Xenopus tropicalis: one gene and its partners. The protein of the gene in region 3 purifies or fractionates together with the protein of the main gene of each other region. This does not show direct contact. Links are inferred from orthologs where the notes say so. Each region holds a gene or a part of one and is shown on either strand. Other genes may lie near its edges.

The links.
Region 1: the proteins of retreg1 (region 3) and gabarapl1 purify together in Homo sapiens (affinity purification with western blotting; 3 studies listed by BioGRID and IntAct, with this or other methods). This does not show direct contact. The link is inferred for Xenopus tropicalis from reciprocal best matches to the Homo sapiens genes RETREG1 and GABARAPL1.
Region 2: the proteins of retreg1 (region 3) and map1lc3a purify together in Homo sapiens (affinity purification with western blotting; 3 studies listed by BioGRID and IntAct, with this or other methods). This does not show direct contact. The link is inferred for Xenopus tropicalis from reciprocal best matches to the Homo sapiens genes RETREG1 and MAP1LC3A.

Annotation. Positions count from the first base shown.
Region 1 is NC_030683.2:18,815,981-18,826,192, reverse strand, and holds the start of gabarapl1 (gamma-aminobutyric acid receptor-associated protein-like 1), read left to right. Parts: upstream 1-5,146; 5' UTR 5,147-5,229; coding exon 5,230-5,319; intron 5,320-10,212. UniProt on the Homo sapiens protein: Ubiquitin-like modifier that increases cell-surface expression of kappa-type opioid receptor through facilitating anterograde intracellular trafficking of the receptor. Involved in formation of autophagosomal vacuoles.
Region 2 is NC_030686.2:41,175,334-41,185,633, reverse strand, and holds the start of map1lc3a (microtubule-associated proteins 1A/1B light chain 3A), read left to right. Parts: upstream 1-4,338; 5' UTR 4,339-4,396; coding exon 4,397-4,436; intron 4,437-10,300. UniProt on the Homo sapiens protein: Ubiquitin-like modifier involved in formation of autophagosomal vacuoles (autophagosomes). While LC3s are involved in elongation of the phagophore membrane, the GABARAP/GATE-16 subfamily is essential for a later stage in autophagosome maturation.
Region 3 is NC_030682.2:79,275,419-79,285,818, forward strand, and holds the start of retreg1 (reticulophagy receptor FAM134B), read left to right. Parts: upstream 1-5,387; 5' UTR 5,388-5,504; coding exon 5,505-5,539; intron 5,540-7,535; exon of another isoform or gene 7,536-9,370; intron 9,371-10,103; exon of another isoform or gene 10,104-10,144; intron 10,145-10,400. UniProt on the Homo sapiens protein: Endoplasmic reticulum (ER)-anchored autophagy regulator which mediates ER delivery into lysosomes through sequestration into autophagosomes.

The DNA of each region.
Region 1 (10,212 bases), on a different chromosome or scaffold from region 3:
CAGTAACAGCAGTGGTATAGACCTCAGACCAGGTAGGTGAGTGTGGTCAGGCCTCTAGATATCAAGTTCCCACACCCCTCACAATGTCTTTTTAACTCCAAGACCTGTGAGACTGACCAGCCAGGGTTTCGAGGACTACTGACTAGCTACCTAAGGCTAATCAAACCCAGCTGTTCAGCCTGTAGCGCTACAGTTGCCAAAAGGCCGATCTTTCCCCAATATGTCCACCTTGAGGGCCAAACAATCAGATCACATTGATGGAATGCAGTCGGGGTGAGGACCGCATCAACAAGTAGATGTACCTCTGGCCCTAATAGAATTTTTAAACCTTTCCTATTAAACTCTGCCCGATTTCTGCCCAGCTATCGGTTGGGTCCCTATACATGGGTCAATAAACTGCCAACGTGGTCCTTCAACAGCTTTTATTGGCTCATGTATGGTCACCTTAACTTTTCTCTGTCAGTTCTGTTGTGTACAAACCACAGTTGCAAATGTATAGAGCAGAAGTCTTCTAGGGTTCGGGCCCCCCATTGTAGTCAAACATCTGACCAATTTCCCCCTAGCTCATAACAAAGCCCAAAAAAGATATGAGAACATGAAATAACAGCAACTCCCTTAAAGTTTGCAGCTCATCCGTAGCAGTATAAAAGCCTTCACCCTAATTGGCCTTTATGTTGGACCATGGCCAACCTTTAAAAGCTTTTGGCCTCATTGTTTAAGAACTGCAGCTATAGAGTGTTATTATTTCTATTATTGGCTGCAGAATCTTATAGGGCCCAGTGCATTGTGGGTTCCCATTTCCCATGACTGCACGGCTATCACTTGCCTGTTTGCATGAATGAGTTTTGCATGTTTCCTACTAATGGATTTATAAAATTTCTTATTTTTGTAAGAAGATTTCATGCTATGGGTGTATAGAGAGCCGTAAGTAACATTTGACCCCTATGTATCTCGACTAATTGCACTAATCGGACAAATCACGACTGCAATTTCATCCTGCGGAGTAGTCACCACGACTTTTTGGAAAGTTGCGGCGACTAATCGCCCTGTCTGTCTTCGCCCTTAGGGAGAAGACACACAGAGATACCAGTAGCAGCTACTTATCACAGCTACTAAAATAGACAATGCTGATCATTTACTGATAATTGTCTCTATGTGTGTTTTAGCAGAGGCAATTCTCAGTATTGTCTATGGCAGGGGATTTTGTGGAGTTTAGTAGCCGTGACAAGTAGCTGCTACTAAATAGCTCAGTGTGTCTTTACCCTTCATCTTGTTCAAACAACTGCCTGGTTGCTAGGGGAAATTGCAACATAGCAACTAGAACACTTCTAAATACCAAACTGAAGAACTGCTGAACAAAACTTTAAATAACTGAAAAGCCATAAAAAATGAAGACCAATTGCACATTGTCTTAGAATACCAATGTCTGCATCATACAAAAAGTTAATTTAAAGGTGAACTACCCTTTAAATAACCATCAGCCCTGAACTGGGATTCAAAATAGTCTCGGGCATTTCAAGTACACAGAGGCCCAAACAGCCCCCCCCAGCCCAATAAATAGTGACTGTCTATGGCACCTTACAGCAGCCCCTCTGGCATTTGCCTGAACCCACAGATTGCCAGTCTGGGCCTGATAACCATTGTATTCTAAACAGCTTATCTATAAACAAGCAAATATGAGCCCTAAGTTCCTACTGGATTCATAATATAAATGATAGTTCAACATTATATTGAACCCTTTCATTGCAGTAACAGCAGGTACAGTATGCTGCCAGTTCCGTATCCATATACCAACGTGCTAGTATATAGTAAATAGCAATATTCTCTCAGCGCCTGAGTTATTGGCTCCATAAGCACAGCTAATGAAATAACATATATTTTGTACCTCCTTCTGTGCCAAGACGCTGCAGCTGATGAATTGTCTTACAGCCTATAGGAAATTACTGTGTCGTAACTGCCAGCTGTACTAGGGAATTATTTCAATAAAATGACCAATGCATGGATGTAATTCAGTTTTGCTGTGAGAAATTCTCAGTGCCTGTTCTGCAAACTGCCTGCATTGAATAATAGCCTATATGCCAGCCTGTCATGGGTACTAGGTAGGGAATGCTGCAGCGATGGAAAAACCAACCAAGCCAGAAAATGTTCCATGTTTCAAAATGATGGAGATTAGTTTGTGTAATTTTCTGTGATTTCAGAAGTTCAAGCCCCATTTGCTTCTGACACCTTTAAATCTGGGCTCCTATACAATACACATGCTGCAGGGCTGATTATTGACTGGTTCAGCAAATGCTCGATTGATGGAAAGTGTAGTCATCACTGCAGGGATATATAGACATCTTTCCATTTTGCAGGGTTTGTTTTTTAAAGGAAAAGGTGGCAGTTAGAGCCAAGTACCCCGAGCCCTGCAGAGCAGCAGTAGCAGATAGGAAGAGAAGGGGGATAGAAGGCAAAATGGAAAGAACTGGATAAGATAGTGGCATTAAACTGTTATATCTGGGCCCTACAGCTGTTGTTGGAGCACATCTCTCAGCAGCTACTGACAGCAAAGGGTTAAATACCCATAAATCATGTGAGCATTGTAGGCAGTCCTGTTGGAGAAGAGGGCAGTTATGTTACGTATGTGTTTGCATGGAGGAAACTGGCAGATGGGGATATTTGTCTGCATTCCCTCCTCTGTACATTCCCAGCCTGTATCTCTGGTGTCCTTGTTAGCAAATGAGAGAGGTGAGCCCTTTGCTCCGCCCCTGCCTGCACTGCAATGAGAGGGGAGGGGCTCCTTTTTATTGTTGGGCTGATGTTAACCCATTCAGTCAAAAGCTTTATTTTACCAATTATGAATGGCCCTGTAACTACTGACAAACGCAATTCACAAACATCTAGATCTAGAATTTTTTATATAGTATTCTTGTCCTCTTCAATGTCGTATACATATATATATATATATATATATATATATATATATATATATATATATATTTTAGATGTTGTTTTGAATAAACACCTTTTGTTTCACCATATATATATATACAGTATATATGGGATTATGTAATGTAAGGCACTATATTGGCCCAGGAGCTAGCAATCAGTTGGTAGAATTTACTGGTCACCTGTTTAAAAGCTCTTATTGATTGCTATGGGTTACGGTTACTGGGCAACAGTAGTGCCTTTTATTACATATGGGGGATACAGTCTAGAAAGTAGGTTCATATACAGTATGGCTGGTTTATTTGCTCTTCTGAATTATATTCATGTCAGTTATATTATTTCAGAACAACAAATAAGCCAGCCCGTTGTATGGGAACCTACTATCTAGTCTACAGGAGGAGTATGAGATTTTGACATGATTTGTGGACCCAGGATTGGATGGGTACAAGGTATGGGATCCATTATCCAGAAACCCATTTTCCTGAAAGCTATGAATTACGGGAGGCAAAACAATCCTACTAATGTTTAAATTATTGTTTAGTAGGCTTTAATGGGTTTAGTATGATGTGGAAGGCAATATTCTAAGACAATCTGCAATTGGTCTTTATTTTTTATCATTTATGTTTTTTTATGTATTTTACTTTTATGTCCAGCAACTTCCCAGTTTGGAATTTCAGTAGCTATCTGGTTGCTAAGGTCCAAATTAACATAGCAACCAGGCAGTGATTTGAACGAGAGACGGGAATTTGAATGGGAAAGGGTCCTGAATAAAAGACAAGTAATAAAAAGTAACAATAACAATACAACTGTAGCCTTACAGAGCAATAGTTTTTGGCTGCCGGGGTCAGTGACCCCCATTTGAAAGCTGGAGAGAGGCAGAAGAGGAGAAATAATTAAAAAACTATAAGAAATAAAAAATGAAGACAATTTGAAAGTTTGCTAAGAGCTACCCCTTTAAGACTTCTGTCACAGAGAGGAAGTTAAAGGGGATTTCCACCCCTAAAATAGTTTTTTGCATAATGAAAAACAATCCAAATTTCCAGTGCACATTCTGTGATTTTCAAGTTATTTGTAAAGGAAATTTCAGCTAAAAGCTGTGTTTGTTTATCTCTTTCTGTTCTCTGGTTCTGACTCTTGAAACAATGTAGCAGGAGTCAGTTCTCCTCCAGGTCTGCTAATCAGTCGGCTTCTGTTATTGTGTTACCACAGTCAGAACCAGCAGTGCAGAAAAGGTATAAGTCAGTGGTTCTTAACCGTCATAATGCCGCGACCCTTTAATACAGTTCCTCATGTTGTGGTGACCCCCAACCATAAAATGATTCCTAACCCCTGTGAAAGGGTCCTTCGACCCCCAAAGGGGTCCCGACCCACAGGTTGAGAACCGCTGGTTTATCTTTTCCTGTTCTCTGGTTCTGAAACAATGTAGCAGGAGTCAGTTCTCCTCCAGGTCTGCTAATCAGTCGGCTTCTGTTATTTTGTTACGACAGTCAGAACCAGCAGTGCAGAAAGGGTATAAGTCAGTGGTTCTCAACCTTCCTCATGTTGTGGTGACCCCCAACCATAAAATTATTCCTAACACCATCAGAAATATGTGTTTTCTGATGTTCTTAGGCGACCCCTGTGAAAGGGTTGTTCGACCCCCAAAGGGGTCCCGACCCACAGGTTGAGAAGCGCTGGTATAAGTGAAAGTGTGGCTCGGCGCCAGGGAATAGATTATGGGCTACAGATCAATGGCCGGAAGTGGTTATACAGGGACTTTGGCCGCTCTCTGACGCAGGTTAATAATGAGGCCCAGGTCCCTGGCCAGTCGCAGGTTAATAGTGTTATGTACCGCAGTGCTGTACTGTTGTGTCACCTTGCCTTGTGACTCTGGCTTTCACGTGATCCACAGAGAATAAACAGGTGACTCAGACAAACAGGTTTGCGTGTCAATCACTTGCCATGCCCTGTGCCACTGCCTATTTACTATATCTCATCCTGGCCTGCACCCTTCCCACTAACCCCCACCCTAAAAACCCTGGAATATGATTTCAGCGCCTGCGAGCTATAGGGTTCTTTAAACTGAGACTGTTTATTTTTCATTTGTCCTGTCTGGCAGAGAGAAGGTTAATTTCAGCATCCCCCTTTGTTTTGTTCTGCTGGTACTGCCCAGGGGCGGGGCTTAGTGATGTCACATTGCCCTTGCTCAGTACACTGTAACATAGCTTGTTATTGCATCTGCTGAGCAGTAGACAGCGAGGGGCATCAGCTGACTGATATATACATTTATATACTGTATATACACTATCTCCTGGGGCAGCCATGAAATTCCAGTATAAGGAGGATCATCCTTTCGAATACAGGAAGAAGGAGGGCGAGAAGATCAGAAAGAAATACCCGGATAGGGTGCCTGTAAGTAGGGACAGCAGAGCTGTGTCATCTCCCTATGGATCCCACTCTCCATCCCTTGTATCCCTTGTATCTCTCTCCTACCCACACTGTATCCCTGTCCTACCTACACTGTATCCCTTGTATCCCTGTCCTACCCACTCTGTATCCCTTGTATCCCTGTCCTACCCACACTGTATCCCTTGTATCCCTGTCCTACCCACTCTGTATCCCTTGTATCCCTGTCCTACCCACACTGTATCCCTTGTATCCCTGTCCTACCCACGCTGTATCCCTTGTATCCCTGTCCTACCCACTCTGTATCCCTTGTATCCCTGTCCTACCCACTCTGTATCCCTTGTATCCCTGTCCTACCCACGCTGTATCCCTTGTATCCCTGTCCTACCCACGCTGTATCCCTTGTATCCCTGTCCTACCCACGCTGTATCCCTTGTATCCCTGTCCTACCCACTCTGTATCCCTTGTATCCCTGTCCTACCCACTCTGTATCCCTTGTATCCCTGTCCTACCCACACTGCATCTGTACAGCACCCTAATGTCCCCCTGTCAGCACAGATATGGGTTCCCTTAGAGTGAATTCCGACCCAAAAACTGCTTATTGCACAATGAAAGACAATGTAATTCCAAGCGACTTTCCCATGTACATTTGTTATAGTATTTCGGTGTTCGATGTCATTGCTATGGGAAGTACCGTCTGTTCCTATTCTCTGAACTCCTCCTGTGACAATGGAACAATGTAGCAGCCCCTGGGCGGGCAGGACTTCTGCTACATTGTTTCAACTCTGGAAAGGAAGCGGCAGAAAGGGAGAAATTAATGTTAATTTCAACGGCAATTACACTAAGTACAAACCATTAAAATGGAATGTACATTGGAAAGCTGCTTAGAATGACATTTGCTATCAGTGTGCGTAAAACAGGTTTTGGGTGGAGTTCCCCTTTAATTCCTTGGCTTTCTGCTGACGGCACAGAGCTTTGTAGTTGTGCTGTTCCTTCGGTAGGGAGCTTTGTGCTCTCTGCCAGACTTCCTATGGGCCGCAGTCATTGTTAGAGACATCTGTAAGAAAGAAAGCCACTCATTGTCACCTGCCCCTCCTCCGATTCCTGGTCTGTCACCTTCTGCTGCCACTGAAACATGTACTGTCTGTTGCTATGGACTGTCACTGCCACTGCTGCAAAGCCATTGGCTGTCAGCTGCCCCCACTGCAGAGCCACTGACTGTCACCTGCTGCCTTTTCCTTGGCTCATACACTGCCCCCCCCCCCCTGCTATAGATCTGTAGCTTTATACCCCCCTCCCAGGCTACAGCTCCTCATTATATCAGTCCCAGCAGTGCGAGTCCTGCATGTCACTTTCCCTTGGTGCAGAACATTGTCCTGTCTAGTTACTTATTGACTGTCACTTTCCCTAACCGCAGAGCTTGCAGAACCATGTACTGTCACTTATGTAAGCTCTACGGGGCAGGGACCTCCTTCCCACTGTGTCTCATACCACATGGCACTTATATATATATATATATATATATATTGTATTTATTTATTATATCACTTGTCCTCCCTGTGTGTAATTGTGTATATTGTAAGATTTTACAGCGCTGCGTACCCTTGTGGCGCTTTATAAATAAAGTTATACATACATACATACATACTCTGGCTGCAGAGCCTTGTCCTGCCTTGCAAGCGACTATACACACTCGGAGCTACTAGTAGCAGCTACTTTTTCACGGCTCATTAAATGATCAGCATTGTCTAATTTAGTAGCCAAGACAAGTAGCTGCTACTAGTAGTTCTGTGTGTCTTCACCCTAAGAAGGATTTATCTCAAGGTGGGGAGGCATAGGCCTTTCTACAATGCCCATGTTTGTCTTCTTCTCCCAGGGTAAATACATTAGTAATACTAGTCATCAGGGACAGACCTTCTCCTGCTCCCCCCCTGTATATAATAATTACGTTATTGTCCGGTCCCCTGGTCATAAACTGTTATTCACAAGAGCTATGAATATCTTGTAACTGATATCCTTATAAACAGTGCTTAGTGATGTCATTAGTTATAAACGGTGCTCAGTGATGTCATTTGTGTTACATGCAGGGTCGGACTGGGCTGGCAGGACAAAAACGTGGTGGGCCCCACTGGCCCAGAACTGATCCCTGCTGGGCTCTCCGAGGCCCGCAGGTCCCCCTCTCCCAATGTGCCTAAGTATGCACGCGTGGGGGAGGGGGTTGGGTGGGCAGCAGGGGCCCGAGGGTGATGGGGACCATGGTGGAGGTCCCTTGGGGGGGGGGTGCAGAGCCCCCGCGGTGACTTGTCTTACAATTTTGAGTTCCCTGACCTGTATAAAAGTGCTCAGCCTGTGTCCTTGTGCGTTTATATGGCTATGGGTCTCATATGTAACTGTTAATATCCTTGTAATACACAAGAACCATGAGTTTCCTTTAACATATATCCTTATAAACAGTGCTTAATGATGTCTTTGGCCTTGTGTTTTTATATGGTCAAAGTGACTTATAATATCCTTATATTTGTATCTTTCATATAACCAAGAGCTTTAATGTGGATTCTATAAAATGTTAATATTTATACATTATAGAAGAGATTGCAGGGCTAATTAGTAATCTATCCCCCATATGTTATACAAGGCACTAAGTTTCCCCAGGAGCAGTAATAGCAACCAGGAGGTTGAGTTTACTGGTCATGTGTTTAAAAGCAAACATCTTATTGGTTGCCATGGGTTACTGCTCCCGGGCAAACGTAGTGCCTTTTATTACATATGGGGGTAAATATGGTAGTGTTGTAAAGGGCAACTAAAATATCCATATAGTTATTTAAGCCATAGAGCTGCTGTACTTGCACTTACATACGGCAGCACCGGACACCGTAACATACAATATGCTCTGCCTCCTCCCCTTATGTCTCTTCCTTTTGTGCCCGTCTGTACATACCATATTAATGGTGCCCAGTAGGCATATCTCAGTGGCACCACCAGCTGATGGAGACTGCAGTCTGTGTGACTAGTGTGTGTTACTGGCAAATAGGTGCTACAGGGCAACCCGGGCCTTTCCTCCTCTACTGCCTGCACTGCAATGAGAGGGGAGGTGTTTGCTTGCGCTGTAGTTAACCCTTTCAGTACTTGGCTGCTGCAGTCCAGGCCGTTATTATGCTACAGATGCCAGTATATATTATATATATATATACATGTTATTTATTGGGCATGATAAGTCACTGCCTGCTTGTTTTACACATTCCCCTCCTGTGTTCAACATAATTACATCATTGTAGATTTATTATTCTCCTTTATGAAAAACATTTATTTGGAGTGACAGGATTCTCATGTACTAATATAACAAATCAACCATTATGCATACAAATTATCGATATATTTATAATATATCACTATATTTATTAAGGCAGTCTGGTGTAAACTATAATTTTTTTATACCTACGCAGCTATAGTATAGGATGCATAAGTAAATTGTCTCCCTCTCGTATTTGATGATGCAGACTTCCAGGCATTCTGACTTTAAAGGGGAAGTTCACCTAAAATGTAATTTGTTGTTGTATGTTGAAGCTTTTTAGTTCTGCCTTTCCCCAAGCACTATATCTTTTTCTATCATTTATTTATATATATATATATATACAAAATGCAGAATGAAGAGCACACCAAAGTTAAAATGCACTACCTGGGTGCCAGAGCAGCAGACATGGAATAGAAAATACAGAATGTCGGCACTCACAGGATTTTCACGAAAAATAGTCACTAGCAGTCAGTCATGTTTTAGAGATGCAATCAAGTGGAGTTTATTAATCCAACGTTTCAGTTCCCTACTGGAACCTTCGTCAGGGAAGCACATTGCATCTCTAAAACATGACTGACTGCTAGTGACTATTTTTCGTGAAAATCCTGTGAGTGCCGACATTCTGTATTTTCTATATATATATATATATATATAAATGCTCCAGAAGAAATCGGGAAGTCACGGCGAAAGGATCGGAGACAACAACCGCAACGGAAAGTTCGCAACAGATAGTATTTAACCTTTCTTCAGTTGAACTAACGCCATTACAAATACAGGTGTTAGAACGGGGCTTAAACTTTTGTCCTACATCACAGTTAGATTCTTTTCAGTTACAGGTGGATTTGTATCGTTTTTTTCGAGCATTAAGACTCAAAGTACATTTCACTCATAATATGACATATAATGAAGCTGAAAATACCGAATGTGGTTTTGATATTAGCAAGGTTGGCTTAAGATCACGTAGCCATTTTGTCCCCCCCACAACATATCCGGCAGTAGAAATGTATATTCAAAAAGTTCGGTCTGAGGTTGAGTCTGATATTGAACATAGTGCCCATAAGGGCCCATATAATATGTCTAAAGCTGAAATTGAGACAATAACCGAGCTTAAATCGATGTCCAGCATAACTATCAAACCTTCAGATAAAGGAGGGGCGATAGTTGTTATGGACACGAACAAATATATTGCTGAGATTGAACGTCACTTGGGGGACCTTGGAGTTTATATCCCATTGAAAGGTGATCCAACGGAATCCTTTAAACGGAGCTGGATCACTTATTAAAGCATGCAGTACTATCTAATGTTATTACTATGTCAACGTCACAATATATGTGGATAGACTTTCCCATTATACCTGTAATTTATGTACTTCCTAAAATACATAAGGACCCCATTAATCCACCAGGTAGACCTATAGTGGCTGGGGTGGGCTCACTTACCAGCAATATAGCTGAGGTCCTGGATAAGATACTTAGTCCTTTAGTTCAGAAGACACGCTCATATATAAGAGATACTCATGATTTTTTACAAAAACTATCTAATATAAATGAATTGGCTGATGAAGTATGGCTGGTAACTTTTGATGTTACCAGTCTATATACATCTA
Region 2 (10,300 bases), on a different chromosome or scaffold from region 3:
AGTCCATTGGCGGCGAGGTTTCCTGGGCCGCCCCATCATCCAAGATGAAAAGTATTCCTTGGTTATATGTGCTAATCCAGCCTTGTACAATTGTTTTATTACTTTCCCATGTACACTATGAACTGAACCCCTTATTCATTTGTTATTAAACTCCCTTCAAATAACTGCGATGATATTCTCTTCTGTCTTTGTTGGAGCCCCCCATGCTGAGAGTGGGCAGAGGGTTACTGGCCCGCGTGCTACCCAAGAGCTTGTATTTTGCTAAAACTATGAGTTGTATTTAGAAAAGAAGAGTTGTTTAGGGGAAAAAAGGTTAAGTTACATTTTGGAAAAAGTATCCAATCAGAGGAAAGTATAATCACATGGTTAAGGCTACTTTCTTTCTTACAAAGCTGACAGAGACTGTAGCTATCTATAATGGAGCATTCCCCCAGCAGTTTTACATTTTACTGTACCTGCAGCCCTATACCAGTAATGATCCAGGCCTTTGAAGTTGGCCGTCTCTTGAGTGTCAGTGGCACTGCACATGCTCAGTTGGCTCTGGGCTGCTTAGGGGTCACCAAAAATCGTCAAGCAGAATATGATGTTCATATTATATAAAGCTGATGCTACTGGGCTGCTTATTACATTTATGATACAGAATGCACTGATTACTGAGCTGCCGTGTAATGTGGTTTATCTCAATAAATTAACTAGTTATCTGTGTGTCATGACTTTTAGTTAATTTATATAGATACTAAATCAGCAGAAGATATGGGGAGCTACAGGGGGCATATTTGGAGCCTCAGATTTCCCTACTAAAGGGCTGGTAATAAAGCTCATAATATACTGTAATGTTAAGCATTTGAAGACTAATCCTTTGTTAAACTGCAGTTCTACTTTATTAAGGAACAGTGGCGTCACTACTCTGTGCCACCCTCCCACCTATAAAAGAATCTTCACAGGGGCCCGGCACAGAGTAGCGAATCCTACTTGGTCCCCTTCCCCCCAACCATAGGTGTCCCCCTGTTCTCTCATGTATACACCCCCAGAACACATGGCATGATAAATGCAGTACCACATTCATGTATAATCCGCCCCAAGCATGTAGTAGGATCAATTCAGTGCATTTACATTCACTTATAATACCCCCGAACATATAGAAGGATCAATTCAGTGCTACATTCACTTATAATACCCCCCCGAACATATAGAAGGATCAATTCAGTGCTACATTCACTTATAATACCCCCGAACATATAGTAGGATCGATTCAGTGCTACATTCACGCATAATACCCCCCGAACATATAGTAGGATCAATTCAGTGCTACATTCATGTATAATACCCCCGAACATATAGTAGGATCTATTCAGTGCCATACTCTGCCTGCCCTATGCTGCCTGTGTGTGCCATACTCTGCCTGCCCTATGCTGCCTGTGTGTGCCATACTCTGCCTGCCCTATGCTGCCTGTGTGTGCCATACTCTGCCTGCCCTTTGCTGCCTGTGTGTGCCATACTCTGCCTGCCCTATGCTGCCTGTGTGTGCCATACTCTGCCTGCCCTATGCTGCCTGTGTGTGCCATACTCTGCCTGCCCTATGCTGCCTGTGTGTGCCATACTCTGCCTGCCCTATGCTGCCTATGTGTGTCATACACACAGGCAGCATAGGGCAGGCAGTACATACAGTGACACAATGCTGACACTGCTTCTACAGTCTGAGGTGTGAACAGGTGAACAATGTGGGTGCTTACAGTCTGAGCCTGAGGTGTGAACAATGCAGGGGGCCAGTTAATCTCAGTACTGATACCATTTAAAGCTAACACAAAGGTAAGCCATCAAAGCAGCCAGACAGGTGGGGGGCCACACAGAGGGGGATCAGCACTGATGTATAATAACCCCGAATATATAGTAGGATCAATTTAGTGCCAAAGAAATCATAGTCTACATGAGGAATTCGGAGACAGGTGGGGGCAAGGACACTGGCAAAAAACTGGGGGTGGGCCTGGACCTTCCTCCCCCAATAATGCCTAGGTATGCTCACTCGGGGGAGTGGAGAGTAATGGCCAATCAGTTTGCCCCCACACCAAGCAACACAGCCCCTGTGGGGGGGCCCCCTGAGCTAATCCACCCCAGTCCAACCCAGGGAAGAGGGGGTCAGCACAAAGGCCCTCCCTGCCTTTTCCTTTAAGATATCTCACACACTGTTCAGTATAAAATCATTACTTGGATTCGGGTCTTTTTGGCAGAAAGCTTCGCAGCGTGTGGGAAATAGAACTTTCATGCACCGTTGCTTTGTGCTTCCCACAATGAATATTTGATGCCTGCTCAGAGAGCATCCACCTAAGGGTAATGGCCAATCAGTGTGCCCCAAACCAAGCAGCACAACCAACGTCACTTTATTTTCATGCATTTATGTATTTTGCCATTCTCTGATGCCACCAAGACTTGAATTCTAATCCCAGTCGCTTGGCATTAGCTGAAATATCTTATATTCTCCCTCTGCCCTTAGGTAACCACAAAAATAACTATATGCCAGGTTTGGGGGGCATATTCCTACAAGCACATTAGTAAGAAGCTAAGAAGGATAGTTTCCTGAGCTGCTTCATACACAGGCCCTGCAGTGCAATCATGGCACATTGACAAGGTGGGGAAGCAGCGGAATCATTATACTTTGCCAGCCCCCCCCTTACATTGTATTGGTACACCTGCCCATGCCCATTCAGGCTGAATCAGTAGGAGGGAGTGTGCAATTGAAATTCTGGTCTTAACTAGGCTCCAGATTCCCTTTGCCAACAACCAATAAGAGGGCAGCATTTCCACCTTGCAACACTGGGGTCCTGAGTTCAATTTCACCTTGGAATCCACAACCCACTCAAGAAGTACAGTTACTGAACTAAACCCACCCAACCTGCAGGTTTCAGGCCTGTGCACCCCTTGTGTGCTTTGCAGACATTTTTATTAGACCTGCACTGCTTTTGGCCCAGGAATGTTCCTGTAGAAGAAGCAAACCTTGCAACTGCCCACGGCCCAAGAGGAATAGGGGCCTAGTGGGGCACTGACTGATTTGCAGACGATATATGTTTATGAAAAATGTCTTATACCCAAAGTCAGACCCTACCGAAGAAGTAGTGGCACCCAAGGCAATATTACTTAACCCAGTGCCGCGATTGCCCCATTCAACTTCAATCCCCCACATTTGTCATTGGTCCACAGCCTACCCTGGGCTGCCCACTACCCCCCTGCTTGCTCCCCCTGCCCTTCGGTCTCTCCCTACCCCATAGATCACTATCCCTAGTTTCAGCTCTGCATTAAGTATACGGGGGCCATAATCAACACACCAGAGGCCCCCCCTTTAGATTAGAGGAACAGAGCTTCCATTTGAAGCAGTGTAGGGGGTTTTTCACGGGGAGGGCAGTGAGGTTGGGGAATGCCCTTCCTAGTGATGGGGTAATGGCAGACTCTGTTAATGCCTATAAGAGGGGCCTGGATGAGTTCTTGATCAATCAGAATATCCATGGCTATTGTGATACTAATATCTACAGTTAGTATTACTGGTTGTATATATAGTTTATGTATGTGAGTGTATAGATTGGTAAGTATAGGTTGTGGGTGCTGGGTTTACTTGGAAGGGTTGAACTTGATGGACTCTGGTCTTTTTTCAACCCTATGTAACTATGTATAATATAATGCTTTTTTTGATGGCTAGTAACTTTTAGCTATGCCACTGTTTCTGCCCATACAATTCCAAGGCAATGGGAGTATATTATATTGGATTTACATCCCTGTATAACTGCTGCAGGGGCACATTAATAAACATCCTACTGAATACACTGAAAGCCTCTTGTTTGGCATAAAATTTATTTTACCGTTTTAGAAACGTACCCAGTGCTATTTCAACTGGATTGGAAGGAAAACACTGTGCCCCGTGTGAGGATCGAACTCACGACCTTCAGATTATGAGACTGACGCGCTACCTACTGCGCTAACGAGGCGACGGGCGCTAAAAGTATAATGACCCAATAAGAGAGTGGGCAATGCGATGTACTATCCTGTATTGCGCTATGTAGTTATATTCTTGCTATTAATGAGACGCTATATAGTACTGAGTGTAATGTATAGTACTGAGTGTAAGTGTGGCTGCCCCTAGTATGGAACAGAGCGGAGAATGCAGGGAGGGAGCCGTAACATAGGCGTTTAAGCGCCAGGGTGCTGTTACGCAGAATGGCCAGCAGGGGGCACCCTTTGCTCATATATGAGCCTGAGCGCCTCCGTGACGTCATGTTGTTACATTGTATCCGCACAGAGCCAGCCGAGAGTGGGGAGAGACGCACAAAGGGGCGAACAGAAGCCAAAGGCAGAGAGAGACTGGGCGAGTCGGGCTGAGTGCTAGCTTCTGGGACTCACACCCCTCAGGATGCCGTCAGAGCGGCCCTTTAAGCACAGGAGAACCTTCGGTGAGTGTTTGCCCACTGTGGGGGGGTGAGGGTGGCACCGCGGGGCTTGGGGGCCATACTGGCACTGAGGAGGCGCCCCTAAGGAACAGGGGGGGTTAAACCGGTCCTGATCAGCTGCGATCCTAATGTGGCTATGGCTGCCAGTCGCCACCAGACCGGGGGAGCCAGTGTAGTGTTTGCCCAAAGTGCCCCATAATAACGGGACAGGTTTAGGGGCTGCGGGGATTGTACCCTCCTCCCCCCAATAGGGCTTTGTCCCACCTGCCGCTCACTGACTGGCTTTGCCTGCACATTATCGGGACATGTTTCCATCTGGCACATCCCAGTCTCCTTCCTCAACAACAACTGGCAGCTTTCCTTCTGCCCGGGCCTGTCCTGTTCATCAGCATTTGCTGTGGGTATGGCACATTGCTTAGCAGCAGTCTCAGTATCGGGACAGGCCAGACAGGACAGGGGTTCTGTAGGAAAGGGGGGCACCCTCTCTGTGCCACAGGCCATGCCCTGTATATTGTAATGTGAGTGGTGGGACTGCAGTTTATTGGGACAGGCCAGACAGGGCAGGGGTTCTGTAGGAAAGGGGGGCACCCTCTCTGTGCCACAGGCAATGCCCCGTATATTGTAATGTGAGTGGTGGGACTGCAGTTTATTGGGACAGGCTCAAACAGGGCAGGGGTTCTGTAGGAAAGGGGGTGCACATATTATTGTTATTATTATTATTATTATTAGTTGGACATAATCTCATTATTGCTGATGATTATCAGGACAGGCTCAGGCAGCCCCTTGTTCCTGTTTAATGTACAGTGACCAGACTCCTGATATCAGGACAGGCTCAGGCAGCCCAGTGTTTGTGTTTAATGTACAGTGACCAGACTCCTGATATCAGGACAGGCTCAGGCAGCCCAGTGTTTATGTTTAATGTACAGTGACCAGACTCCTGATATCAGGACAGGCTCAGGCAGCCCAGTGTTTATGTTTAATGTACAGTGACCAGACTGCTGATATCAGGACAGGCTCAGGCAGCCCAGTGTTTGTGTTTAATGTACAGTGACCAGACATCTAATATCAGGACAGGCTCAGGCAGCCCAGTGTTTGTGTTTAATGTACAGTGACCAGACTGCTGATATCAGGACAGGCTCAGGCAGCCCAGTGTTTGTGTTTAATGTACAGTGACCAGACTCCTGATATCAGGACAGGCACAAGCAGCCCAGTGTTTGTGTTTAATGTACAGTGACCAGACTCCTGATATCAGGACAGGCACAAGCAGCCCAGTGTTTGTGTTTAATGTACAGTGACCAGACTCCTGATATCAGGACAGGCTCAGGCAGCCCAGTGTTTGTGTTTAATGTACAGTGACCAGACTCCTGATATCAGGACAGGCTCAGGCAGCCCAGTGTTTGTGTTTAATGTACAGTGACCAGACTCCTGATATCAGGACAGGCTCAGGCAGCCCAGTGTTTATGTTTAATGTACAGTGACCAGACTCCTGATATCAGGACAGGCACAAGCAGCCCAGTGTTTGTGTTTAATGTACAGTGACCAGACTCCTGATATCAGGACAGGCTCAGGCAGCCCAGTGTTTGTGTTTAATGTACAGTGACCAGACTGCTGATATCAGGACAGGCTCAGGCAGCCCAGTGTTTATGTTTAATGTACAGTGACCAGACTGCTGATATCAGGACAGGCTCAGGCAGCCCAGTGTTTGTGTTTAATGTACAGTGACCAGACTCCTGATATCAGGACAGGCTCAGGCAGCCCAGTGTTTATGTTTAATGTACAGTGACCAGACTCCTGATATCAGGACAGGCTCAGGCAGCCCAGTGTTTATGTTTAATGTACAGTGACCAGACTCCTGATATCAGGACAGGCTCAGGCAGCCCAGTGTTTATGTTTAATGTACAGTGACCAGACTCCTGATATCAGGACAGGCTCAGGCAGCCCAGTGTTTATGTTTAATGTACAGTGACCAGACTCCTGATATCAGGACAGGCTCAGGCAGCCCAGTGTTTATGTTTAATGTACAGTGACCAGACTCCTGATATCAGGACAGGCTCAGGCAGCCCAGTGTTTATGTTTAATGTACAGTGACCAGACTGCTGATATCAGGACAGGCTCAGGCAGCCCAGTGTTTGTGTTTAATGTACAGTGACCAGACTCCTGATATCAGGACAGGCTCAGGCAGCCCAGTGTTTATGTTTAATGTACAGTGACCAGACTGCTGATATCAGGACAGGCTCAGGCAGCCCAGTGTTTGTGTTTAATGTACAGTGACCAGACATCTGATATCAGGACAGGCTCAGGCAGCCCAGTGTTTGTGTTTAATGTACAGTGACCAGACATCTGATATCAGGACAGGCTCAGGCAGCCCAGTGTTTATGTTTAATGTACAGTGACCAGACATCTGATATCAGGACAGGCTCAGGCAGCCCAGTGTTTGTGTTTAATGTACAGTGACCAGACTGCTGATATCAGGACAGGCTCAGGCAGCCCCGTCCGTGTTTCTGTATAATGTACAGTGACCAAACTGCTGATATCAGGACAGGCTAAGTCTAGGCTGGCTGTGGATTTATCAAAAATGGCTAGAACAGACCTGAGTTACCATTTAATGTGCCAATGGCCTGACTGCAAATAAACAGGACAGGTATAACAATTCTGTTTGTATTACTTAATGTACAAGGACTGCTGATAAAGCAAGTAATCAGGACAGGCTCAGACAGGGCTACATTTATAGCCAGTACAGCAGGTAACAGGACAGGCTTGGCTTGCTATTTAATGTTCAGTGTTCTAAATGTAGATATCAGGACAGGCTGAGTCAGTCCCTGTGTGTAAATATATATATAATGTGTATAAATACAGCCTGTGCAGATGGCTATGTGGCCAGTGTTTATCAGTGCAGAGTGAATAAACACTGGGAGCCTCGTTCTCAGCGCGGTGATGATGTCACTAACAGGTGGCCCCCTCTCACCTTATCTAAGCCCCGCCCAGTTTCCCCTCTCTGGGTCCCTCTATGGCTAATGGTGCACTTTATACCCTCTGGGCAATAAAGGCTCCTGGAATAAGGAGTGGTTTGGATTTTTATGTAATTAGGCTGGAACAAGTAACATGTCACATGTGCCGGGTCAGTACCTACCTGGGGACAAGTAAGTGGATAGCTGTTTACAAACAAAGGAAATGTGTATTTATACCCTGCCAGTGACTTGGCTCTGGGTATCAGTTCCCTGGAATTTGTGCCTGTTATGCAACTGCCTGCCGGAATCTCATCCAGCTGTCATTTATCCTGGAACGGTTTCCATCAGTGGCCGAATATACACTGCCTCATACTCACTGCTGGTAGGGCCCACAGCATAGCAAATACATGGGGGCTTGCCTTTTACTGAAACTAACGTGGCCTTTCAGTGCTGATGAACTACACCCAGTGGCCCCTCATCTGGTTGGGCAAACCTGATATGAAGTTCTGTTGCCATCTCTCCCTACTATACCTGCTATCCCACAGCCCCAGTCCCTTCCCAGAGGCTATTATCCCCCCCACTGCTACTATAGGCACCATCTCTCCCTACTATACCTGCTATCCCACAGCCCCAGTCCCTTCCCAGAGGCTATTATCCCACTGCTACTATAGGCACCATCTCTCCCTACTATACCTGCTATCCCACAGCCCCAGTCCCTTCCCAAAGGCTATTATCCCCCCACTGCTACTATAGGCACCATCTCTCCCTACTATACCTGCTATCCCACAGCCCCAGTCCCTTCCCAGAGGCTATTATCCCACTGCTACTATAGGCACCATCTCTCCCTACTATACCTGCTATCCCACAGCCCCAGTCCCTTCCCAGAGGCTATTATCCCCCCACTGCTACTATAGGCACCATCTCTCCCTAATATACCTGCTATCCCACAGCCCCAGTCCCTTCCCAGAGGCTATTATCCCCCCCACTGCTACTATAGGCACCATCTCTCCCTACTATACCTGCTATCCCACAGCCCCAGTCCCTTCCCAGAGGCTATTATCCCCCCACTGCTACTATAGGCACCATCTTTCCCTACTATACCTGCTATCCCACAGCCCCAGTCCCTTCCCAGAGGCTATTATCCCCCCACTGCTTCTATAGGCACCATCTCTCCCTACTATACATGCTATCCTACAGCCCCAGTCCCTTCCCAGAGGCTATTATCCCCCCACTGCTACTATAGGCACCATCTCTCCCTACTATACCTGCTATCCCACAGCCCCAGTTCCTTCCCAGAGGCTATTATCTACTATGATGTTTAGTATAGAAGGCTGCTAAGAAAGCAAACCTCCTTTGTGCACTTTGTTTCCTGTCCGGCAGAACAGGTGGTTGAGCCTGGACCTCTGTTGCAAGGCTATTTCTTTGTTTTGCTTTTTAATTAAATGAGAAAGCTGATCTCCTAGATAGGAGAAGGTTAGGCAGCCATATGCACTCCAGGTGTAAAAATACAAGGATGCTTTTGGGATTTTAAAGGTGTGGGACCATGACATATCGCTGACAGCACCTGATAAATTGCCAGTGGGGGAGCTGTGGTAAGCTGAGGTGAAACAGCACTTCCATCCGGCTGGCAGCACAGTGCTAAAATCCAAAAAGGGCACAGAGAGCAAAATACAAAGCGAAGTCTCATTGGAGACGCCACCTGCATATTCAGGAAACCCTCAAGCCACAGAGCAGCTTATCTGAAAGGGTAATATTAGAAGTATAAAACTGCTTGAAATGGCTGGTGTAGCCATATGTGCTAAAACTCACATTCCCTGGCCCCAGGTTCTACTAGTCTGTACATGATAGAAGGGTGATCTCTCCCCTATAAAAAGCCACAGGGAGGGTGGATCGTCCTGTAAGGCCATTGCCTTGGGCAGGAAACACTTTTCCAAAAATAATACAACCATTCAGGAAGGTACCGGCCTATCAGAAATAGACAAACAACATGGAGTTATGAAACCCTCCTGTTATTGAAAATGTACACATCAGCATATTTTGTGCAGTTCAGCTGACTACGGAGGCTGAGAGTCAGCTCTCTCCTATCAGGGGGGGGGGCTCAGGTTATATATGCCATAAGTAGGAAGTCAAAAAGGATTTTTTTCCCCCTCTGTGGCAAATTAGAGAGGCTTCGGAAGGGGTTATTTGCCTTCCTCTTGATCAGCTAGCAGTTAGGCAGGTTATATATGGGCATTAAGGTTGAACTTGTCTTTTTTCAACCTAACTTACTATGTTACATCCAGTACACACACAGGGGACCCTATAATTATCCAGAAGCCCTGCACATAGTGTGTTGTGTGCACTAAACCTGTACCACGTATGTTAGGCAGTGAGCCCCCCTGACCCGTGCCGTAAAATTCTGCGTACAGTGGAAGGTGAAGGAGTGTATAAGAAGGTTTTTTGAGTGTGTAATGCAGTAAGCTAGCACTCTAATGTACCTGGGGGAAGGGCTTTCTATTGCCCTGGTTCATGTTACAATGACCTTGTTAGTTTAGCTGCACGCAGGGCGGGGGCGCACACGCTGATATGTGAGTTCTGCTGTGCACTGAATGGCTGGGTTACGGGCAGGTTACTGTGCCCCTCTGTCCCACGAGTTAATAGACAGGACAGATCCTTCCTGGGCTGAAACGTACAGTTCTCCTCCCATCCTCCCTGTACACAAACACACACTCAGCTATTTTAGTCTGGTGCTTCTCTCACTCGCCTTGCAGGGTGCCACATGACTTAACCCCTTCCCGATGCCAGGCTGTGTCATTTGGAGCGACCTTCCCTCCATAGCAGGCAACTGGCACCCCTGCAGATGTTGCTGGGAGTTGCAGTTTAATAGTTCATCACTTGCTGTGTACAAGGTGGGACTGGCTCAGTAATCTCTGAGTGTTA
Region 3 (10,400 bases):
AAAAATATATGGTTTTGTGGGGATCTCTGTATAGTTAGGGGAAGTTTTGGCACATAATACACTGACAGGGGGCTCTGTGTGCAAAAGCTGAGCTGGCAGGCGAGAAATCCTTATGCGCTATTTTCATTTAGGGTTCAGTACATACCGCAGACTTTGGTATATCTATGCATATTGGGCATCAAACTGTTCAGTAGGCCTCTGGTGTTCCTATTTGGGGTGACTTGCCTTTGTACGCAAGAAATTGTGTGAGATAAATGCGGCAAATTGCAACATTTTTAGGCGATTTTCTGAAATGTCATAAAAACCGATAACTTTAGGAAAGCTTTGCGGCTTGGTACTTTGGTGTAGAAAGGACTCTTTACCCTTGTTGGATTTGTCAGAATGTGTACTTTCCAAAAATATATGGTTTTGTGGTGGTCTCTGTATAGTTAGGGGAAGTTTTGGCACATAATACACTGACAGGGGGCTCTGTGTGCAAAAGCTGAGCTGGCAGGCGAGAAATCCTTATGCGCTATTTTCATTTAGGGTTCAGTACATACCGCAGACTTTGGTATATCTATGCATATTGGGCATCAAACTGTTCAGTAGGCCTCTGGTGTTCCTATTTGGGGTGACTTGCCTTTGTACGCAAGAAATTGTGTGAGATAAATGCGGCAAATTGCAACATTTTTAGGCGATTTTCTGAAATGTCATAAAAACCGATAACTTTAGGAAAGCTTTGCGGCTTGGTACTTTGGTGTAGAAAGGACTCTTTACCCTTGTTGGATTTGTCAGAATGTGTACTTTCCAAAAATATATGGTTTTGTGGGGATCTCTGTATAGTTAGGGGAAGTTTTGGCACATAATACACTGACAGGGGGCTCTGTGTGCAAAAGCTGAGCTGGCAGGCGAGAAATCCTTATGCGCTATTTTCATTTAGGGTTCAGTACATACCGCAGACTTTGGTATATCTATGCATATTGGGCATCAAACTGTTCAGTAGGCCTCTGGTGTTCCTATTTGGGGTGACTTGCCTTTGTACGCAAGAAATTGTGTGAGATAAATGCGGCAAATTGCAACATTTTTAGGCGATTTTCTGAAATGTCATAAAAACCGATAACTTTAGGAAAGCTTTGCGGCTTGGTACTTTGGTGTAGAAAGGACTCTTTACCCTTGTTGGATTTGTCAGAATGTGTACTTTCCAAAAATATATGGTTTTGTGGTGGTCTCTGTATAGTTAGGGGAAGTTTTGGCACATAATACACTGACAGGGGGCTCTGTGTGCAAAAGCTGAGCTGGCAGGCGAGAAATCCTTATGCGCTATTTTCATTTAGGGTTCAGTACATACCGCAGACTTTGGTATATCTATGCATATTGGGCATCAAACTGTTCAGTAGGCCTCTGGTGTTCCTATTTGGGGTGACTTGCCTTTGTACGCAAGAAATTGTGTGAGATAAATGCGACAAATTGCAACATTTTTAGGCGATTTTCTGAAATGTCATAAAAACCAATAACTTTAGGAAAGCTCTGCAGATTGGTACTTTGGTGTAGAAAGGACTCTTTACCCTTGTTGGATTTGTCAGAATGTGTACTTTCCAAAAATATATGGTTTTGTGGGGGTCACTGTATGGTTAGGGGAAGTTTTGGCACATAATACACTGACAGGGGGCTCTGTGTGCAAAAGCTGAGCTGGCAGGCGAGAAATCCTTATGCGCTATTTTCATTTAGGGTTCAGTACATACCGCAGACTTTGGTATATCTATGCATATTGGGCATCAAACTGTTCAGTAGACCTCTGGTGTTCCTTTTTGGGGTGATTTGTCTTTATCTGATCTTTATTAAGAAATTGTGAGAGATAAATGCGGCAAATTGCAACATTTTTATGCGATTTTCGAAATGTCATATAAATCTGCAAACTTAGGAAAGCTTTACAGCTTGGTACTTTGTAGCAATAAGAAATATTTACCCATAGATTCGGGGGGATGTGTATTTTCCAAAAATATATGGCTTTCTGGGGTGAATGTACTTTTTTTGTAGCATTATCCCACATAAAGGATGTAAATGTGTTGATTTTGCAGGAGCTGAAATGATAGATCATATGGGGGTATGTTCCCATTGGGGCCCCTACATGCCACATACTTAGGTAAACCTATACATATTGGGCATCAAACTGTTCAGTGGACCCCTGGCGTTCAAATTTAGGGTGTTTTATCTTGGTACCTAACACTATGTGGGAGATAAGATGCTGCAAAGTGGAAGCTTTGAGGGGATTTTTGGAAATGTCATCAAAATTGCTAACTTTAGAAAAGCTGTGCGGCTTGGTACTTTGGAGTAGAAAGACATGGGTACCCATTTTAGATTCGGAGGAATGTGTACTTTCCAAAAATATATGACTTTCTGGGGTGAGCGTACTTTTTTGTAGCTTTATCCCACATATAATAATGTAAATGTGTTGATTCTGCAGGAGCTGAAATGACAGAAATGACAGTTCATATGGGGGTATGTTCACATTGGGGCCCCTACATGCCACATACTTAGGTAAACCTATACATATTGGGCATCAAACTGTTCAGTGGACCCCTGGCGTTCAAATTCAGGGTGTTTTATCTTGGTACCTAATGCTATATGGGAGATAAGATGCTTCAAAGTGGAAGCTTTGAGGGGATTTTTGGAAATGTCATCAGAATTGCTAACTTTAGAAAAGCTGTGCGGCTTGGTACTTTGGAGTAGAAAGACATGGGTACCCATTTTAGATTCGGGGGAATGTGTACTTTCCAAAAATATATGACTTTCTGGGGTGAGCGTACTTTTTACTAGCTTTATCCCACATATAATGATGTAAATGTGTTGATTTTGCAGAAGCTGAAATGACAGAAATGACAGTTCATATGGGGTATGTTCACATTGGGGCCCCTACATGCCACATACTTAGGTAAACCTATACATATTGGGCATCAAACTGTTCAGTGGACCCCTGGCGTTCAAATTCAGGGTGTTTTATCTTGGTACCTAATGCTATGTGGGAGATAAGATGCTTCAAAGTGGAAGCTTTGAGGGGATTTTTGGAAATGTCATCAAAATTGCTAACTTTAGAAAAGCTGTGCGGCTTGGTACTTTGGAGTAGAAAGACATGGGTACCCATTTTAGATTCGGGGGAATGTGTACTTTCCAAAAATATATGACTTTCTGGGGTGAGCGTACTTTTTACTAGCTTCATCCCACATATAATGATGTAAATGTGTTGATTTTGCAGAAGCTGAAATGACAGAAATGACAGTTCATATGGGGTATGTTCACATTGGGGCCCCTACATGGCACATACTTAGGTAAACCTATACATATTGGGCATCAAACTGTTCAGTGGACCCCTGGCGTTCAAATTCAGGGTGTTTTATCTTGGTACCTAATGCTATGTGGGAGATAAGATGCTTCAAAGTGGAAGCTTTGAGGGGATTTCTGGAAATGTCATCAAAATTGCTAACTTTAGAAAAGCTGTGCGGCTTGGTACTTTGGAGTAGAAAGACATGGGTACCCATTTTAGATTCGGGGGAATGTGTACTTTCCAAAAATATATGACTTTCTGGGGTGAGCATACTTTTTACTAGCTTTATCCCACATATAATGATGTAAATGTGTTGATTTTGCAGGAGCTGAAATGACAGAAATGACAGTTCATATGGGGTATGTTCACATTGGGGCCCCTACATGCCACATACTTAGGTAAACCTATACATATTGGGCATCAAACTGTTCAGTGGACCCCAGGCATTCATATTTAGGGTGTTTTATTTGGTTACTTTATGACCTGTAGGAGATAAGATACTATAGACTGGAAGCTTTGAAGCGATTTTTAAAAAAAATCACAAATTTTGATAAAAACCAATAACTTTAGGAAAGCATTGCGACTTGATAGTTTGGAGTAGACAGACAGTTGTGCCTATTCTGTATTCCCCAGAATCTGTTCTTTCCAAAAATGTACAATTTTCTGGGATTAACCTTCTGTTAGTGGAATTTTGGCCTTGAAATCCAAAGTATGCAGTTTTTTTGGAGCAGTGCTTTGGGAATTTGGTAGTGTACTGCTGGGAGTTTTTGACCTATACAAGTGAGAAATCTCCATAAAACTATATATATTTGGTATTGGCACGTTCAGGAGACATGGGACTTTCCAAATCAGTTGTATATTCGTGCATAAAATAATTTTTGTTTCTAGTATGTGTGATTATATTATGGAAAATTTGTTTTTTTTTGCATTTTTAGACATTTAGAAGCCTATATCTTGTTACAGAATTGGAATTACACAAAAATTCTACCATATTTTGAAAGCTTAGGTTGTTCTGAAAAAAACGATATATTGTTTTCCTTGGTAAACTAAAAGTCCCCCCGAGGAAAGGCCCCTAAAGTGAAACAGTGCAAAATGTTCAAAAACTGTCTGGCAATACAAGTTCCGCTTTGACCAAAATGGCTGGCAGTAAAAGGGTTAAGAAGGATAATAATAAACTTGAGAGAGTGAAGAGATGTACACCTAAAGTGGCAAAAGGGAGGATTAAACTATGAGTCACGGGAAAATATTTTTTTTTTTGTGTTGGGGGGGGGGGGGGGGTAAGCAGGTAAAAGTGTTATGTGTATATGTGTGCACTAGGGCTTGTTTGAAAGGGTTGAGCTTGATGGGCTTTTTTTAACAGTGGCATAACTATCTATATACCCCGCGGTCACAGCAGGGCCCAGCCCCCCTGCCCAGCCTCTTTTCTACCTTAAAAATGGCTGCATGGTGTCGGATGAGAGGTGCGGTGCAAGTAAGCCGGGGGGGGGGAATATTTGAGGGAGCCTGGAGCGACCAAGTTACACTACTGCTAACTATGTATACAGTATTACAGAATTCTGTAGTCTACACTGCAGTATAGATAGGAGAAGCCACAAGTTTTGTAACTGTGGTTATATTTCTACCAATACACATGAGATTCTTTATATACAGGAAATGTCAACATGCAATATTTTTGTATCCTTGGTCTGTTGGCAGCTTTTATCATCCCTTGTATGGACATCTTAACATTAGTAAATGGGGCCTACAGTTTTTTTTAATAAAAACAAAAGTTTTGCAAAGCAATCAGCTGAATTTTAGAACTTAATATTCTTTAAGGAAATAGCTTATTGCTATTCTTCATTTGTTTTTGTTTATGAACTAGGATACAGTACTCCTGAAACCAGGAGTTGTTATTATGAAAGTGTTTGAAATGGGTGTTGTCTAATCACTCCACAAGATAATGTGCCAGCAGGCTGGGACTGAAGCACAGCCCATGAGATCCATGGCTCGCTCAGCTCTATTTATAACAGCCAATCATTGCTCTCATGCTGTCTGCTCCATTCAAGACAAGCTGACACACACAGGAAGAACATAAACACAGACTCGGAGCTCACATAGCTTGCTCAGACTGTCTCAGCTCTCCTTACAGTCGCGGCCAAGTTCAAAAGACACATCTGTACTTGGATTACTTTTTTGGCACAAACAATTTTTGGAGAAGGCAGAAATGCCTGAAGGAGAAGATTCAGATCCACATGGAAGGTACTGGAAAGTAAATGTGCCTTGCTAGGAAAGTGTTCTTTTGGGTTGATTTCAGTGATATACACATTTGTAAAATTTGTCATGAATTACTGTTTGCATTTGTTGCTTCTGTTTGTATAACATTGTGTTCATTTGCCCTCTGTTGTTCATTGCTAATTAAACTGTTATAACTGATATAAATAGCATAAATATCTTTCTCTTTTCATAGTTTTTGTCCCAATAACATACTCATTTTCCTAAGAAGTTGTTAGTATATTTGTACAAAGGCCCCCCTGTGGTGGTCATCAGCATTCCCTCACAGGGTGCATTCCAGTCAGTCAGCAGTGGCATGAGAGTCAGTCACATTCAGCTCTGACCGCCAAAGGGCATCTGTTGGACTAACAATAGAATTTAGTTTTTTTTTTGTGTACAGTGATTAATTTTTTGCATTGTCTTAAGGTTAGATGTTATATTAATACTCTCTTCAGTATGCCCAGTATGATGATATCTAGAAAATAAATAGGAATTAAGCCATTAATATTCTTCTATTCAGGCATTCTCCTATTTATATTACAATGTCTCATTCAAAGCACTGCATGGTTGCTAGGGTAAATTGGAGCACAGCAACCAGATAGCTGCTAAATGCCATACTGATAAGCTGTTAAACACAATCTGATTAATTCAAAAACAAAAAAAAATTTAAAAACTGCAAATAGCCTCAGAACAATACTGCCAACAAAATGCAAAAAGTTAATTTAAAGGCAAACTACCCCTTTTAAGTAATATTTCATGACAATGAATATGTTGCTTTTGGTGGCCTGTTGTAAGTTTCCTATTAAAAAGTAACAACCAGGACTTCAGCAAATTCTGCTTTCAATAGCAATTACATTTACACCTAACTTTTAAAGCGCTAATAATTTTTAATAATTGAAATTGGAATTATGTTTTCTTTTATTAGGCAAAACAATTATTTTTGGGGTTGACATGTCCTTTAAGGTTATGGCCTAAAAATGCACCTTGGAAGATAGATGCAACCTTATGTCATGTTTGCTGTGATTCTGGTCTATAATTGAAAGCAATCTTCAACTGTTCCTGGTACTTTGTTCTTAGGAAAAGTCTCTGCAACTAAATGACCCATAAGGCATTAGACTATGTATGGAAATGTCAGGGCCTTATGGTCTTTACAGGGTTGAAGTCAGGATCAGGGAGGAAGCTGAGTTCAGAAAATTATACGCCGTATCCATGGGGTAAAGCAAGTCTCTTAGTCAAATTCAGGCTAAAAATTGTGGCAAGTAAGAACAAAGCTGAAAGAAACGTGTAGATTGAGCCAAAACAGTAATTTAATGCACCAAGGAACTTTACAATGAAAGATATATATTGAGGCATTGAATCCGGGTCTTTGGTGTCCTTTCGGTTTGAATTTTCACGCCAAAGTGGCATGTGATGACATCATGCAGCAACAGTGTGACAATGTGACATTGTGGCCATGGGCACTGCCTTCTTTGGAAGGAGGCAGAGTGCTTCTAACCAGAGAACTCCTGACAGGGCATCCCCTGGCACACTCCTAGTTAGCATGATTTAGAATCTTGCTTCCTTATTATTGCTTATTTGTGCCCCTAGACCAGCTCATATCATCATCATCATTTTTTTTTATAATACAGAAGTCATGAATCTCTCTCCTATTTAATGAATGGTGCTTAGTGGTGTAATTTATCACATGACACACTGAAACTTGTGCATTAGAATATGTAATGTACTCTCTGTTGTAAAATATGAGGAGTCAGTTCGAGAGCTGCTCCTGCCATGAGGCAAGGTAAGAACTTTCACCCAGCTATCAGCACAAGAGCCACAATATAAATTTTTGCACTCTACATGGGCTTGGCACAATTTACATCCTTCTTTTAGCCCTTAATATATTAGCCTGCATGTATTTATGCGCACATTCAGCTTCATGCCTAAATTATATGCTATGTATATGCCTGCTATATAAATAATGGTATATACATAAAGAACAATAAATACTAATATGGGACAGTTCAGGGTTGAATTTTCAAATTCATCTTATCATTTATCATTTAAGGAATTTTTTAACATGTCCAAAAAGGTTCCCAAATGAATCTATTTAATATAAAGTATTGTTTTCTAAAGGCAATATCTAATAGCACCAGTAATTTTTTCTCAGGGGGAACAGCAATTGATTGAAAACCTCAATTTAGGAGATGTGGGGTTATGAAGATTTGAGCAAGTATTGTAGGGTTATGAACACTTGAGCAAGTATTGTGAGTATTAGTGTAATGCAAGTCATTCAGTAGGATGCTGACAGGTTGCCCTGTGCCATGCTCTGGATTTTAAATCCTGCCCAAGATACATCTGGAGCAGATACTCCAGATGCAAGTTCTTTAGTAAGTCTAGTGAGGATCATCATAGCTAAACCAGAATATAACCCAGGGGTGGGCAAACTACGGCCGCGGGCCACATCCGGCCCCTTGGCCTTTTTAATCCGGCCCGCCGCCGACGCCAAGTCTCATCACGCGAGACTGGAATTAAAGAGATGAAGGGGGTGTAACGCTGGCCTGGCCCTGCCCGCCCTGGCCCGGTCCGGCACGGGGGTAAGTAAATGTGGCCCGTGAGCCAAAAAGTTTGCCCACCCCTGATATAACCTATGGTACACATGGCATTTGATGTTATTATTTTTCTGTTACTGAGAATGCCACAGGTTGCTTGAACCCACCTCTTATTGCAGTGAATAGGAAGTTAATGGGAAATTGCTTATAGTCTGTATTTTTATTCAAATCCATTGTAATTGGAGGCAATTTCAAACAAGTCATGCAATTGTAACCAAGATTTTATTTCCAATTGCACTTAATAAGAATAATATATTAACTTATTAAGGATTACATCCTTGAAGCAGTGTTTCGACTTAATAAGCCACTCTCTTTGTGCAGTAGTTCATGTTTACTTAACCACTTATCTTTTAAGTATGGCTTCCCTGCTGTCTCCTTCTTGTGGTTTTTCTTGTTTCTTTTTGTATCCATTTCATTAGAAAAATAATGTTGATTGTGTATGTCTACTGTAGGACTGTGTAACTGCTCAGTCTGTAATTTTGTAAATATGGGAGCAGCTGTGGTTGAAGTGGTATGATTTATTTACCTTTCAAAACATTTAACCACTTACATTTACCTTTTTGTGTGAACAGTTTGCCACTGTCTGTTATTGCAGTACCAATAAACCAACAGACATGTAAATTATAAAAACAGATACTTTCCCATCTCTTGAAAACTTTCATAGAGTTCTCACAAAAAATGTATATTACCTGTGTATGTCATCTCCTGATTGTTGTTGTAGCAAATTAGATGAAAGCAAGATGACAAGCATGTATAATGGCAATTGTACATGGCTCATTCCAATCCTCTTGGCACCTGAGCAATTAGTAGCTCTGTAGCTGTGATTGTCAAATTCTTTGAGTTCAAGTCCCCATGAAGGTCCAACCAGTTAGCTTATGAAACTGGTACATGTTTGAAAAATGTTGGTGTATTGGTCATTCAGCCATAGTTTGGGTGAAGTTATTCACCCCAAATTTCAGCCTAACTGTCCTTCAAGCTGGGCCTTCAGGTGTAAGTAGTAAGTTCTAAAGGCTATTTTCCCTAGTTCTCATCCTAATTGGTGTGTCCCTCACAACCCCAAGTGCCACTGTTCTTAGGGGGCTCTAAGAGATTGAAGTTGAAGCTCAGTCTACCTGAGAGGAACTTCCTTGCTTTCTTCTTTGTTGTATAGGATTTGTTGGTGCAAATTTACAAAGGGTGAAAATGTAGTACATGATGGCGAGGTTAGTTTTCATCTTTGTCTCTGTCTCTGATCCAACATATAACAGGAAGGAAAATAATTAGTATACCTGCCTTTATTAATTCTTAACTGCACATAGCAAGGCAAAACAATCATATCAGGTTTATCCCGCTATCCCAGCACAGGGGGAGGGGCCTCAGGTTTATTATCCATGGTTTAAATTCCACAAATATCTATCCTGTGGCATAACAAAACATTACAGACGCTCAGAGCAAAGCATTTTTATGTTCTTCCAAACAGCAAATTACTTGATTTAAAAAGATAAATACAAGTTGCTCAATAGTTAGGGCTCATGTTCCCCCCCAACAGCCCTTAGACCCCAGCTGTCGCTATGCCAACGTTCTCTGTTGTTACATGCCTGTATATATATATATATATATATATATTAGAGCTGGGCGGTATGACCAAAAATTTATATCACGGTATTTTTCAAAATTATATCGGTATCACGGTATTTGACGGTATATAAATAAATAATAAATATTGGTGGCCAGGGCCCCTAAATAGTTTGCTGGCACCCCCCCCATACATAAAAATTGGTGGCCACCCATCCCCCCCACCCTCCACCCTATACATAAATAGAAATTGCTGGCCACCCATACCACTACCCCACCCCCCAAGACCGTGCCAATAAATTGCAAGGTGGCCAGGCAGGCACCGCCATAAAATACGCAGGATTGCAGGCCAGGCACCCCCGAAGACAGCGCCCCCCCCATGCACATTGGTGTTCAGTGGAACTTACCGAACTTGAGGTTCCTCCAGCGATGCGTCCGATCGATGCGTCCTAGCGATGGCACTTTTGTAGAGCGCTGACGTCGCGTGCGCGCTGACGTCACAACCCGGATATACTTAGAAAAAAATTGCAGGAGGCGCGCACACCGGTATTGGGGTATGTTGAAAATTAATATCATTTTTTTAAAAAAAAAACGGTATTTGGTTTAAAACAGTATACCGCCCAGCACTAATATATATATATATATATATATATATATATATGCAATTTTGGCACCCTTTTGGGTTTAAAAAGCGTTTGCATTAC